Linked DNA regions of Styela clava. The protein of the gene in region 1 interacts with the protein of each later gene in a pairwise test. Links are inferred from orthologs where the notes say so. Each region holds a gene or a part of one and is shown in the gene's direction. Other genes may lie near its edges.

The links.
Region 2: the proteins of MICOS complex subunit Mic60-like (region 1) and prefoldin subunit 1-like interact in a two-hybrid assay, tested with the Homo sapiens proteins (2 studies listed by BioGRID and IntAct). The link is inferred for Styela clava from reciprocal best matches to the Homo sapiens genes IMMT and PFDN1.

What each region holds. Positions count from the first base shown.
Region 1 is NC_135250.1:12,331,164-12,338,645, reverse strand, and holds MICOS complex subunit Mic60-like, read left to right. Parts: upstream 1-4,472; 5' UTR 4,473-4,674; coding exon 4,675-7,047; 3' UTR 7,048-7,472; downstream 7,473-7,482. UniProt on the Homo sapiens protein: Component of the MICOS complex, a large protein complex of the mitochondrial inner membrane that plays crucial roles in the maintenance of crista junctions, inner membrane architecture, and formation of contact sites to the outer membrane.
Region 2 is NC_135255.1:20,572,643-20,580,160, forward strand, and holds prefoldin subunit 1-like, read left to right. Parts: upstream 1-4,741; 5' UTR 4,742-4,780; coding exon 4,781-5,134; 3' UTR 5,135-7,008; downstream 7,009-7,518. UniProt on the Homo sapiens protein: Binds specifically to cytosolic chaperonin (c-CPN) and transfers target proteins to it. Binds to nascent polypeptide chain and promotes folding in an environment in which there are many competing pathways for nonnative proteins.

The sequences.
Region 1 (7,482 bases):
TTGCTAATATGATGATAATATATATTGTTTAAGTTTGGAACGAAATTCTGAGTTCGATTTTGAATTTTTGATGTCATCGGGTAGGGAATTCCAAGCTTTTGGTCCACATACTGCGATTGATTCTTGTGAAATACTTTTACTGACAAATGGAATAAAAAAATTATCTTTATTTCTGCTGTTTGAATTTGGGTTTGCTTGGAACAGGCTGTTCAGGCTGGTCGGAAGCTCTCCAATGTGACAAGAGAACATCATATTACATAGTTCGAATTTAGCTAAATCCACAACTCGTAGTAGCCTATGCTCTTTAAATAAGTCATCAATTTTTTCGCGATTACCTCTATGAAAAACTCTTCTAATAAAGCGATTGCAAACACTTTGAATTTTTTTGAGAATGGACGATTGGCGATGAACATAAGCTGAGGCACAATAACGAATATGGCTTTCTATCAGAGAGTGGTATAGAGATATTAAACAAGATGTATTTAAGTAGTTGGCTATTTTCGTAATGGCACTAAGAGACGACCTTGTTTTCGATAGAACCATATTGGTGTGTTGTTTCCAAGACAATTTATCATCGATCATTACACCCAGAAAGCGAGTCTGATTAACTCTTTCTATATTTATTCCATTTAATTCCAAATTTTGTTGCAGAGTTGGACACTTTTGCTTCGGGGTGCTAAATATCATATATTTAGTTTTATCGACATTAATAGTGAGTTTGTTCGCAGACAACCAAGCTTGAATATTTTCTAAGTCGGTATTTGCCTTGGTCAAAAGTTCAGGCAAGTTTTTGCCTCGAAGATATGGCGTTGAGTCATCAGCAAAAAGCAAAAAGTATGTGCATTGGAGCGTATCAGGAAATACAATCTTTCGCCTGTAGTCTCATGGAGTGACGTCAGAGTCGCCTATCATGTTGTTTCATGTCATTGGTCCGAGTAACAGAGAAAAAATCATTCTGCGATTTTGTTGATAGTGAGTATCAACGGCTATTACAGCATGGCAACACTCGGTTTTCCCTTTATTACCTGCTTTGCAAAGGATTACGGAACTGTTTGAAAGCTTGATAAGTTATTCAAATTCTCAAGAAGGATGTCCTACTCTTATGCTTAAATGTTCCAGCGTACGAACTTCACTTGAAATTCATCCTTTGCCAGCTCACCTACTTCAACAAAATTATTTTAATTTTGAAAAAAGATAATACTAATGCCGTAGATCAGGGGTCGGCAACTTACGGTTCCAGGGCCGGATTCGGCCCGCAGAATATTATAATCCGGCTCGTGACGCTTCACTAAATTATAGTAACAAAACAGCCGTTTTGACGATTATATTTTTTAAACTAAATTATATTATAACCTAACAAGTATATAATTCACAACTACTCGTTTAATGAGCCTATAATTTAATTATAATTAGACAAATGGCAACAAAACGCAGAAAAATGATGCGAAGTTCAAAGGGTTCAATGGCGCTGAAAATATTCAAATGCAATTTTTTGCGATGCAATGAGGATGTATTACTGCTTGATTTTTATTATAAAAAGTATCATCCATTCGGTTCCAGCTTTCTAAAAATATGTACGGCCCGACAATGACTCGCAACCCTTAATTTTGTCCCGCGAGCGACAAAAGGTTGCCGACCCCTGCCGTAGATGTCAGAGGTGAAGCTAAATTTGAAGGAAAAAGGGTGAAGTCTTTTAATTCCGTCGCAATAACTTGTACTTCTGGAATCCTTGGAACGCTCTGGCGAAATCGACGTAACTGTATTTAAAAAGAATGTTTGCGGTATACAAAGCAGCATGATGAAGCCTACAATGCTCCCCGGGCCCCACATATGGACAAATTCGAAGGGTGATTTAAACTGGACTAAAGTGTTTGGTTTGCAAAATGGATAAATGATATGTTCGGTTAGCTAGTCAGGTTTTGAATAGAGATGCACTTTTCGACGAATACTGATAAAGAGATATTTATCTGAGCATGGTTCAAATGCAATTTGGCTCACTTTGCGGTTGAATTTAAGTGGACAGAGATGTTTAACGTTTTTTCTAACAGAAATATTAGCATTTCGAATTTGCAGAAACTCATTGATTTTGTTTGCCGGAACATCGGCATCTGTTGAACAGATTTTCTTCATTGTTAAAATTTTCTGGCCTGGAAGCAGGTTCAGAATGCCAGAAGAAAATATAAAAGCACTCGTAACCTGCAAATTTAATGGTGATGTCTCTTGTTATCAGTTTTATGACAAAATCAAAACAAGAATTTTTGAGAAGGGTTCCATCTGCGAACAAATACTTTTGGTCTAAATAAATAATACAAACTATTTTTTTGTGTTTTTTCTAATTCAATATTACAAAGACTGGCAATCAACCGAATGTTTGCCAAATCGCACCGTCCCGGTTTTTTGTTTCAGATTTATGGTAAGCCTAGCTATACTATCCATCAATACAATTTCAGCAAAAGACTTTAATGGTAATATATACAGCCATTGCTCTTACAATTATGCACTCAATGGGCTTATTTTGTTGGTAACGTTTTTTATATAGTACAAGAGAGCTATGCTCAAATATATGGACACGTAGCATAGTGGCAAATTGTGATGGCGTCATAGCACGCAAAAAAACGATAAATGAAAGTGATAGCCTTCCAGCGAAAAATATAATTTTTAGACACTGAAAATTTCGATTTCAGCCTGCTTCATGCTACGTCAACTTAAGTGTATTTAGAGAAAGTGGATGGGCATTACCAGTCTGGATATTGCCTATTGTTTTGAACACATTTCATAGTTCAATTGTAAAATTTTAATAAATTAAACAAAAATAAATACTTGTAGCAAACTAACATGTATGGTATTTTGTGGTTAAATTTACTACTTTTTTGAGAGTTACCGTTTGTAATTCATTGTAGTTGTAATTCAAAATAAAAGGAAAAAATCAGGCAGGCTGCATGTGAAATTTAAGAAGCTTACTAAAGTTTGGCACGTTTACAATATTCGTATAATTGGAACACAAATTAATGTTTAAAACCAATGACTATGGCCTTTGATTTAAATAAATTATAAGCTATATATTAGAGACTATGTTGGGTTAATTATCATTACATAAGCGTGCTACCGTGTTTTCCCGATAATAATACCTACCCTGAAAATAAGATCTAGCCTGAATTTTAAAAATGATTTTAATATGAGCCCTCCCGTTAAAAGACCTAGTCAACAACGCAAATTTATTTTTACCCAGTCGATAGCAAGAAATCCCTCCTACACGTTTTAAATGATTGATAGTCTATGTTTTACAGTTATTTTGACTGAAAACGTGTTATTCAAAAGTAAATAGATATTAGTTTTCATATTTTGTACATTTAAAAATCTCGTAGTTCTATACTTTGTAATTTTGTTTTTGATAAATGAAAATATAAGACATCCCCCGAAAATAAGCCCTAGTGGTATTTTTTTGGAAGAAACTTGAAATAAGACCCAGTCCTATTTTCGGGGAAACACGGTACGTAATATCAACTTAGATTTTAGACAGAGTGTTCTTTTCATATTCCACGGGAAAGGAAAGCACATATGTTTTGTTGATCATATGATTTCGGACTGAAGACGTGCGCTTACTGGCTTTTCCAAAGTGCAAATTTGATAAACCAATTTAGTTTTATTATTGCACACTGTTCATTAGATCAACGTGTGCCGCAGTCGATCACGCCATGTATGCATAGAAATTGGGAACAGTAACCGCAAAATGATAATGGAATCGGATGCGTTGTTTACTGTCTTTTTCAATCTGCTGTCAATACAAAAATAAACATTTCGTTTGTTTTATTAGTATATTTTTGCTTTTGTTCACGTTTGTTTTTGGTTGACGAATCAATAAATCTCTCTTTGTCTATGTGCTTGTAGGAATTCAATACATTCCGAGCATCTATCTTCTTTTGCAATTTAAACTCGCCACTACATTTAATGCCTCAACAAGTGAGAGGAGACAACAAGAGTTTAATTATTTTTGTTACACCATCCTTTACTGCAATACATCAAATACGTCTACTTCTACATTGCCATGCATAAGCTTTACACTTTATACAAATTTTCGGACCTCCAGAAGTATGTGCATCAAGATGACGTACAACCTGAACATAGTGTGTGTAACAGGTTAGGGTTCAGGTTGTGCGCCATCTTGGTGCACATACTTCGGGAGCGCCCAAATTTTATATGAACTACAGTGTCTGCGGTAGCGTGAATATTGATTTTGCATGCGTTGGTATTACGATTCGTGTAAAGAAGTTGACCAAGAGGATTTTTAAAACTTCCAAATTTATTTTATATTCATTGAATTCCAGGTATTTCATCGGTCAACTTATGTTTGTCGTAGGTTATTATTATTTATTTACGGTTAAACCGTAGTAGTATATATTTACGGTTAAACATCGAAAAGATTTGATTCATGCCCATTAATTCTGTCATCGTTCCACCGTATTAGCAAAGCCATTATATAATGGCTCTGGTATACGGTAAGTCTTCATTTACGGTTCCACGAAATGCGAAATTTGAGCAGCGACACTCGCAGCGGTCACACATGCGACTTCACTCCGCGAGGTTTGTTGGTTTTGTTTCTTACAAGCAGACAAGTGTCAGACGCCGATGGACTTCGAATCTCAGTGAGCGGCGTGTATTTATTTGTAAATCGTCATGTTGCGGATTAGAAATCGGTTGGGATGGCCTCGGAGGACTTATCAAAATATTACCGGGAGAAGGAAGTTATCAACTACCGCATCTAACTCTAGCAGCCCCGTTGTTATTGCGGGCGCAACAGTTTTATCTGGTGGTTTAGTTGCAGTTGGTGCTGCTTGGCAGTTTCCGTCGTTCAGAGAAAGTGCTGAATTGAATTTTCCACCTGCAAAATACTTATTTAATCCCATTTTGGGGCCGCTGAATAAATCGATAGAAGCTGTCCCGAAAATTAAACAGTCCAACAGAAAAGTAGGTGATGTCTTTGAATCAAGTTTGAAAGAGGCAAGAAAAATTAAAGAAAAGACTGAAGCGAAGTTGGAAGATGAAAAAGTGACTGCTTCTCATGATGAGAGACAGGAAATTTTATCTAAACAACCAATTGAAGATGAAAGTTCTGCAACCGGTGGTATTTTGTCAGAGTCTGAAGTGAATATTCCCCAAGCAGTATCTGAACCAGTTCCAGAAATGCCGACTTTAACGAATGATGAGGTACAACCAATAAAAGAGCTAGTGACGGACGTTGAAACTGAACAGATTGGTGAAAAAGAAATACAGAATGCACCACAGTTGTTGCCTGTTACAACACCAAGTGATTCTTTACCAGATAAAGATGGGAATCATTTAGAACGTACACCTGAAGAAGTCTCACATAATATCATAAAACTGGAGGAAGATGTTATTGCAGATACTGCTGCAATATTGACAATACTGGATGACGCTTTGTCATCTTGTGCACAACGTTGCTTGGAGGCTATCGATAGTAACCTAGAAGCATCTAAAGCGATTGCTTTACATACATCTCTTCTTAAAAGTGCTATGGATGAAAAGGAAACCAGTTCTGAGGAAAAGAAAAACCAGTGGACGGATGTTTCAAGAGTTCTTGAGCAAAAATCGAGACTCCAGCAGGAGGCAGAAAACCTAAGCCAAGATGCTCGACAGGAATTATCAAAATTGGGTGCGATTATATCTGAAATTAAACGGTTCAATAATTCAGATGCAAATCAAAAAATAATTAGTGCTGAAGAAAACTGTAATGCTATGCGCAAGGAATTAGAAAATGCTTGTAGAGAAGTCAATATTAAGCTTTCAGAGTCACATGTTATTTCACAATACAAAGATTTGATCGAAACAGCAAAAGAACAATTTCGTCAGGAGCTTATGTCTGTCATGCCTGATGTTAACGTTGAGTCTGGGTGGCGAAAATTGAGCCAGAAGCTTTCTCAAGACGATCTTAATGCCCTGATTGCCCATGCGCATCGTAGAGTTGATCAATTGCAAAGAGAACTTGCAGAGGAGCGTGCAATATCAGTGAGCAGAATGGAGATGGCTGTACGAGCAGCAAGGGAAAAGTGGGACGAGCAGACTGTTATAGAAACTGAAAGAAAAATGGAATTGCTAAAGCAGGAAAGTGAAGTCGAATATGAAAAAAAACTTGAAGAAGCAAGACAAACTTTTGAACGAGAAATGAGAGTGCAACTGAAACGGCAAGCTGCAGCGCATTCTGAACATCTTGCTGACATGCTTGGAATACAGGAAAAGCAAGTCAGGAAAGAACTGGATATGGAAATGAAACAAAAACTGGAAGAACAGGAGGAAAATTTCTTAGCACAAATGGAAAAGGTAAAAGAAAAGTATGAAGATGAATTGCATGAAATAACGGATAAGTTTCAGTTTGATTTGAACAAAGCACTTTCAAAAGTAGCGGGTATTGAAACTGCAATTGACGGTCGAGCACACATTGAGAATGAGTCTCGGAAGGCACAAGAGTTATGGCTTGCTTGCGAAGCTCTTCGAATTGCTGTGCAATATGGTGATGACGGTAAACCAGTTCCTCTGGAAAAGGAATTACAGGCTATTTCACAAGTTGATGGTATAGAGTCGCAGATATTAGAAGTAATCAAAGCATTTCCCGAGCGTGCTAGCGACTCTGGTGTTTACCCTGAAGAAGCGATACGTCTTGCTTTCAAGCAAGTATCAAAAATGTGTAGACGTCTGTCTCTGATCAACGAAACAAGAAATTCATTTTTTTCATATTTTCTTTCATATTTAAAGTCACTTTTAATCGTAAATCGTGCCCAAGCAGAGCCTCCACAGAATTTGGATCCCAAAGAGTTAGATACTTTTAAAATTTTGTCCTATGCGGCGTATTGTTTGGATCGTGGTGATTTGGAGCAAGCTGCAAGGTTTATGAACCAACTTAAAGGTGAATCAAGAAGAATTGCTGAGGGATGGCTTAAAGAAGCTAGATTATTGCTTGAAACCAAACAAACCTTGCAAGTTTTATCAAGCCTTGCATCTGCGTCAAGTATCGCCGCAAATCTAGAAGTATGAGAATGCTCGAAATTTATAGCAGCATCTTTTTTCATCAAACTCAGATTTACAAATGTTTATATCTGCATGTTTTGAAATTTATGTTGTCAACTGTAATATTTTGGTGAAATGCTATTTGATTTTTTTATTTGTCAGTGAGGTTTATCACATCTTTCTCCAGACCAGGCTCTGTGCAAGCAGCCATTGATATGTAATGAGCCATGGAACAGTTAGAATTTCCTTTTCAAAATAGCCCAGAAAATTTGGAAGCGTTTTGTGAAGTAAGTGGTGGGCAGAAAGATCTCAAACCTGTGACACCAACATAGTGAATAATAAATCTTATGTGTTAGCCACTAGGATCAGGGTGCATGCTTTAATAAGTTGAAAGTATTGCTTTCTTTTTTGATTATTTAAATGTCAATCTGATAAAAATATGTTAAATCTGGTGCTTGGTGT
Region 2 (7,518 bases), on another chromosome or scaffold:
ATAGGTTGTAAGACATTTTTCATTGTTTTATACAATTTGCATCTTATTCCAAGTTTAATTAACACACAGTATCGGTGTTTGGAAAAGTAAGAAAACGGAATATTACGATATTAGGTGAGTTTATTTGAAATACCAAACCTTTTTAAAATATGTGAACATCTACGCTATTCAAATAATTGAGATATACGCTATGTTTGGTATTATAAATGGCCAAGTCAAAACGTGCTGCTACTGTTATGGTATAGTGAAGTCGAATCTAAAAGGTATTTGCTTTTTTCCGAATGTGTCGTAGTGCTGCCTTTATTGGCGGTTTTCGAGAAATCGCCCTTTCAAAAACGATTATTTTTCGGAATTCTGAAAAGAACCCATTAAAGAAAGCGTAAAATGTTTTTTTTTATATTTTAAACTTTCCCAATTAATTCTTAGTTTAATAAACGTACAGTATTCATTTGTGACAAAGAGTAAAATATATTTGATCAATTTTCCAGCAGCTTCAGTTGAAATACAAATCCATCTTAAATTTGTTACGTCTACATTGTTTAAAAAATTGAGAATACACGCTATTTTGGTATTATATATAGCCAAGTCAAAACATGCTGTCACTGTTTTGTTATAGTGAAATCAAATCTATAGGGTATCTACGTTTCTCCGAATGTGTCGTAGTGCTGCCTTCATTGGCGGTTTTCGAGAAATCGCCCTTCCAAAATCAATAATTTTTCGAAATTTTGAAAAGAATCCACGAGAGGGCGTAAAATGTTTTTTTGGTATTTTATACTTTTCTTCTGCAACTCATTCTAAGTTTAATAGACGTACAGTATTAATGTGTGACGAAGAGAAAAATATATATTTTATCGATTGTTCAGCAAATTTAGTTGACATACAATTCCTTTTTAAATTTGTTTCGTCCACATTGTTCATAAAATTGAAGAGTATACGCTATGATTGGTATTATATATGGCAAAGTCAAAACGTGATGCTACCGTTCTGACATAATAAAATTGAATCCATAAGGTATGTGCTTTTCTCTGAATGTGTCGTGATGCTGCCTTTATTGGCGGTTTTTGAGAAATCACCAATCCAAAAACGATAATTTTCGAAATTCTCAAACTAATTCAAGTGGGTGCGCAACATTTTTTTTTATTATTACTTCATACTTTCTGAAACTTATTCTAAGTTTAATATACGTACAGTATTAATGTGTGACGAAGAGAAAAATATATATTTTATCAATTGTTCAGCAAATTTAGTTGACATACAATTCCTTTTTAAATTTGTTTCGTCCACATTGTTCATAAAATTGAAGAGTATACGCTATGTTTGGTATTATATATGAAAAAGTTAAAACCTGATGCTACCGTTCTGACATAATAAAATTGAATCTATAAGGTATGTGCTTTTCTCTGAATGTATCGTGATGCTGCCTTTATTGGCGGTTTTTGAGAAATCACCAATCCAAAAACGATAATTTTCGAAATTCTCAAACTAATTCAAGCGGGGCGCGAAATTTTTTTTATTATTACTTTATACTTTCTGAAACTTATTCTAAGTTTATTAGCGTACAGTATTGATGTGCGACAAAGAGAAAAAGATATTTGATCAATTATTCTGCAACTTTAGTTGAAATACAAACCCTTTTTTAATATGTTACGTACCGTTGTTTTAAAAATCGAGGAATATACGCTATGTTTGGTATTATATATGGCCAAGTCAAAACGTGCTGCTACTGTTCTGGCATAATAAAATCGAATCTATAATGTATGTGCTTTTATCCGAATATGTCGTAGTGCTGCCTTTATTGGCGGTTTTCGAGAAATCGCCATTTTAAAAACGATAATTTTTTGTAATCCAGGACAGAATCCACTAGGAGTCGCAAATGTTTTTTTGCTGTTTTATACTTCCCGCAACGTATTCCAAGTTTAAAAGATGTACAGTATTAATGTGTGACAAAGAGAAAATTATATTTGATCCATTGTCTAGCAATTTTAGTTGAAATACAAAATCAATTTTAAGTTTGTTACGTCCATGCCGTTATTAAAATTTAGATTACACGATATGTTTGGTAATATATATGGTCAAGCCAAAACGTGCTGCTACTGTTCTGTTATAAAAAAATCGAATTTATAGGGTATCTGCTTTTCTCCAAATGTGTCGTGGTGCTGCCTTTATTGGCGGTTTTCGAGGAATCGAGGTTCCAAAAAGGATAATTTTCCGAAACTTTGTATTTGCGGAATGCCTGAAAATTCATTTTTCGCTTAGTTAGTCTTTTTTTAAACACTATTTTCTTATTAAATTTAATGTATTATTTTAGTTTAAAGATTTTTCATCTATTTTCGTGCCAATATTATATTTTGATCAGCATTTTCATTTTTCATATTTACATATAAGTGAACATTATATTCGCGTGGAACCTATATTCAATGTGTAAAAATATTCTGGCTGAAAGTGCTGCTAGCTTCACAGTGGTGTCGCGGGGTTTTAAAATCGGCCATCGAACTTTACAGAAAAATTATAAATTCACGCAAAATTGTTATGTTCACTTCAATAAAGATTAACTCCTGTTGTTTCGTGCGTTTCTGAATTTAAATTGTATGTATTGTTCAATTTATAATATTTAATATTTTTGTGGAATATAAATATTCTGATTTATTGAAAAGGCATATTTACAATCATCAATTTAAATAAAATATTATCTTTCAAAATAATTTTTTTAATTCAATTGTGAACACTTAATATTCCCGTGTGCTCCATATTGCAAATTATTTATGTCAAACCGTTACCAGGGGAGGTATTCAGATGTTTCAGTTTCAGGTGATTTTGTTTGAAATTTATGGGTTAGAATTTGTATTTTTATCCCCGCGGAGAGGAAAGTTGTCTTAATTATTTATTATTGTTATGTAAAAAGATTCTGAATTTGTGTCTCATTTGTTTTGGATTTGTGTTTTTACACAGACTGTGTATAATTATATTTTTTCTCCGTCATTAAAAATAAGTACCGGTACCGTATTTGCTCGTTTTGTAGCCCGGGCCCATATTTGTTTAACCAAACACACTGACCGGGCCCTTATTCAATCATAGACGCTTGTTATTTTTAAAGTAAAATTGCGACGCCCTATCAATATTAAAACGACGCACTTGGGCGTCGCGACGCCCAGTTTGAGAACCACGGTGTTAAGTAATCAATGCTATCTGTTATGTAAATGGACGCCTGAAAGTAAGGCGTGAGTGTTATCTACCAGCGCTTAGAATTCGACAGCGTTGTGACAAAAGCGCTTCTTATTTCCTATTGCTGTATTGTTCTCTACCACTGAAAAATCAGCTTTTACATCGGGCGGGTATTCAAGCACCGGCCCTTATTTATTTTTATGTTCTGTTCACACGGGCGTCTATTCAAACGGGCCCTTGATTAAGATCGGGCGGTAAAACGAGCATATACGGTAAGTTAATTGTGTGTTGAAAAATAAATACAAAACTTGCGTTTTATTAGGGTCTCCTGAAGTACACGCCGCAAGTACTTCTAGTTGCAAGTGCAGTTTTAAGTATTCTATGGCGTCTGCAGCTGCCGCAAAACCATGGCGGTATTTCCATACCATGGCCGCTACAGCCAAACCTACGGCGAATGACTTTTTAGCTGCCACAAACCAATGTCGAGCTGCCGCTACCGCGGCAGCAAATTAAAAACCAATGGCAGGTAAAATTTTGCTGCTGTAACCGCGGCAGGTGGGCCGTAAGGACAGGGCTGTCCCTTATGGTGACAAATATTGGGTAAGTTGGAACGTTTTTCTTATGGATACAGTCTTGATGCATTTGGGGTTAGGGTTAGGGTTTAAGAAGATATAATTCCGCATGATCAATTAGAATTTGGTACATTAGTTTGTGAATATACCGTTAATACTGATTACTGAATACAGAATAGCGCTATAAAACCATGGCAAGAGCTGCCGCGGTTCGTTCGTGGCAGGAGCTGCCATGAAGTGGTAAGAACTGCGCCTCTCTAGTTGGCCTGGCACAACGATTGTTTCATATGTCATTTCCAACCCCCACCTGCAGAATTGACTACGTCATCCGAAAATTACATCACTGCGAAGTCACAGTGACGCAATACGGCCCTCCAAAGTATACGGATGGTCACGCAGACAATCATCTGAAATCGAGCAAGCTATTTTTCTCGCCGAAACGATACACAGATAAGATCGCTGACATAGGTGTGTTCATTATAGTCGCCAATTTGAACAATCACAGCTATACTTTAGCAAGCTCTATGCGATTGTGACGTCGCAGTGATGTAATTTTTGGGTGACGTACTCAGGTGGGGGTTAGGAATATTATATTTATAAAATCATTATGCTACATCCACTACAAGTACTTGAGGGCGCGTACTTCAGGAGACCCTTTCATTAGACCTAAATGATCAATGCTATTCAAATGTATCCATTGTACAACGTGATGCAAAAAATCATAATCCCAAGCTTCACGTAATTGCCGGTCGATTACGGCTTCCTTCGTCAGCAAATCCATGCATCTGAAACAAATAACTGGCTAACTAATCCAATACCCGACGTGGACTGGTAACCAGACGAGAGGCCGAGGTTCGCCATATGATTGAGTCGTATTATTGGTTTTCCTCTCCAGGATAAATATGTAAATCCTTTCCTAATTCCACATATGACGTAGACAAGAGGCGGTGACACACCATATGATTGTGCCATCTTATAAAGAAATATAACTTTCCATCTTTTTGTTTATAGTTGTCTGTATCTAACGTATTACCCAGTATATAATCATGGATATGGAACTGAAACAAGCTTTCGCGGACCTACAGCGTAAAATGGTCGAAACGCAGTCACAAATGAAAATAGCGGATGCACAAATCATGCAATTAGGACGCGAAAAGAAACGTTCTGAGCTTACTGCAAGCGAAATTAGTGGTCTGCCATCAGAAACAAGATTATTTCAAAGCGTAGGGCGAATGTTTTTGCTTCGAACACGAGACGAAATCGACCAAAATTTAAAAGCTTCACAAGAAAATTCAGACACGAAAGTTAAAGAACTCGAAGCGAAGAAAAAATATTTAGAAAAAACTGTCAAAGAAAGTGAAGAAAACCTTCGTGAAATGGTTTCTCAACGAAGGAAATGAAACTTCCATTTCAATAACTGATTTATATTATCTTCAACAAAAAAATGCATGCAAAATGAAAAACAGAAAACTCCAGGCCATTTCATAAATAAAATGGGACATGGTCTGCTTGGAATTAGGGCTGAAAGCCTCAATTTTAATATGAGCATGATGCTTCTCAAAAAATATGGTTTCCAAAAGCCATACTATTTCAATAACTGATAGATATTATATTCAACAAAAAATGCATGTTAAATGAAAACCATGTTTCTCGCTAAAGATTGAAATTGTGTGAGTCAACCTGGTTTGGATTAGGTTCAAAAGCCTTAATTTGGCCCAATTTATATCTAAAAATAATATATATTTAAAAATAATGCTACTCAAAAATAAATGTTTCGAAACCTATTTTAACTGTTATTATTTTCAAATGAAAATATGTCCATAGAATGAAAAGTACGAAAAGACTGGGACATATTGAAAATAAAATAGGACTTTGTCTGGTAGAAATTGGGTCTGAAAGTCTCATTTTTTTAATCTGGTTCAATGTATATTTAAAAATAATGCTGCTCATGAAATCGTGGCAGGAAAAAATTACTTCTTCTATCTTTGCAGTGTGTGAATGTTTTTCATTTTGATATCAAATTTCTGTTTATCAGGCATATTCTTTGTTTATTCACCATGGTTTCTCCAAACTGTTACAAAGCTTATTTTATTCTGAGATGTTGTGCTCTCTAATTTCATTGATTGAGAAAATGTATTCTTCATTTTAGCACCTACAAATATTTAGAAAGTCTTGAAATTTATTAAAATTGCAAAGGTAATTTATCGACATCATATATTGTTTTGGCCCTCGCAGATGTATTAAATGAAGTGAAAATACTGATTAAAAAACAATTACTGATTAAAAAACAACAAACATGAAACTCCATAACAAAATTGAAATTGTAAAGGGATTTTATGGACACCCTGTATATCAATATACATCACTGATCCATGTCATGAAATTTCCTATACTTCAGATAGCCAATACAGATTCAAATAACTTTGTATAGTTAGTTGTCAATTTTATTTGGACGCCACTTATATATTAGAAGTGCATGTGGAATCGAAAAGTCTTGTTGAAACTAAGTTAAATTCAACAATAATGCTGCACAAATCAGATAACCAAATTGCTTTTTGTATATTTGCAGTTTTTAATTTTGATGCAGAATCTCACATATATTATGATACCCAACCTGACATGTGCACTCTATTGGCGCCCCCCCCCCCCCCCTCCTCAAAAAATACTCTGAACCACACCCTTGCAATAGAATATATATTTGAGAGTATTGGTCTGTAATGAAATATGATGCATAAATGGCAGCAGCATCAACATTCTTGGAATCAAATGCGGTGATTCGGTTTAGGGTTGGATTATCCGGATAGCGGTTAACCGGATAACCGATTAACCAAGAGGTATTTTGCTATCTGATAACCGGATATTATTGTAACGGTTAACCGGATAATAGAGCAGTATAAATAATGCATATGCGCATTAGTGATTTTTATATTTTTTGTTGAGTGGCCAATGACATCTCTCAGAGCATATAATATTCACTTATATCCACACCACTCTGCATATTTCAGTCATCCGTGTAATGCTGGAGTGAACTTGACTATAGTATTACATCACAAAACACGCAGAAAAATGTGATTATTGCGTATTTGCGGTATAGAAGAGCCCGACTTACCTTAAAATAAAAGCATTTCTACTCTAGATATGAAAACAAATGGTAAGCTGCACGAACAAATCCAATTTTCTATTTTTGCTATCTTGAAAATTCATCAAATTTGAGCTATTATTGCAATTCCAATGAGTATAATTTATTTAGTACAATAAATGCAGATATTAATTAGCTTATAGTTATATATCAACATTTTCGGGAGAAAAGTCGGGTTCAGTTTCGTCGGTATATAACGCCGATAATTGTTTTATTTCGCCCGGAACTGAAATGGCCGCAGTATGTTATCTATCGTCGTATCTATCTATCGTTAAGAGAGTAGATCTGAAACACACATTTTTGACTGACAATAAGGAATTGAATGCTAACGAAAATACCACGACTCTTGATTTATGAGCCAGTGATAGATAAAACAAGACTCTATTTTAGGCGCTGTTGAATCGCCAAAATTTCGTAATAATCGTATTTACTGAATTTACAACAAGGGTAACTTTTCACGGGATGTAACTTCTTTTCAAATTAAAACTGGCATAATGCCGATGTTAATTCCCCAAATAATAACGCGATGCGGAAGAAAACGATCGGCGATGATAACACAATTAGCCTGCAAAATTCGACCGACGTTTTCGAAAATTTCAAAATGAGGAGGAAAGGCTGTTATTACATTTATGGTTTTCATGGAAC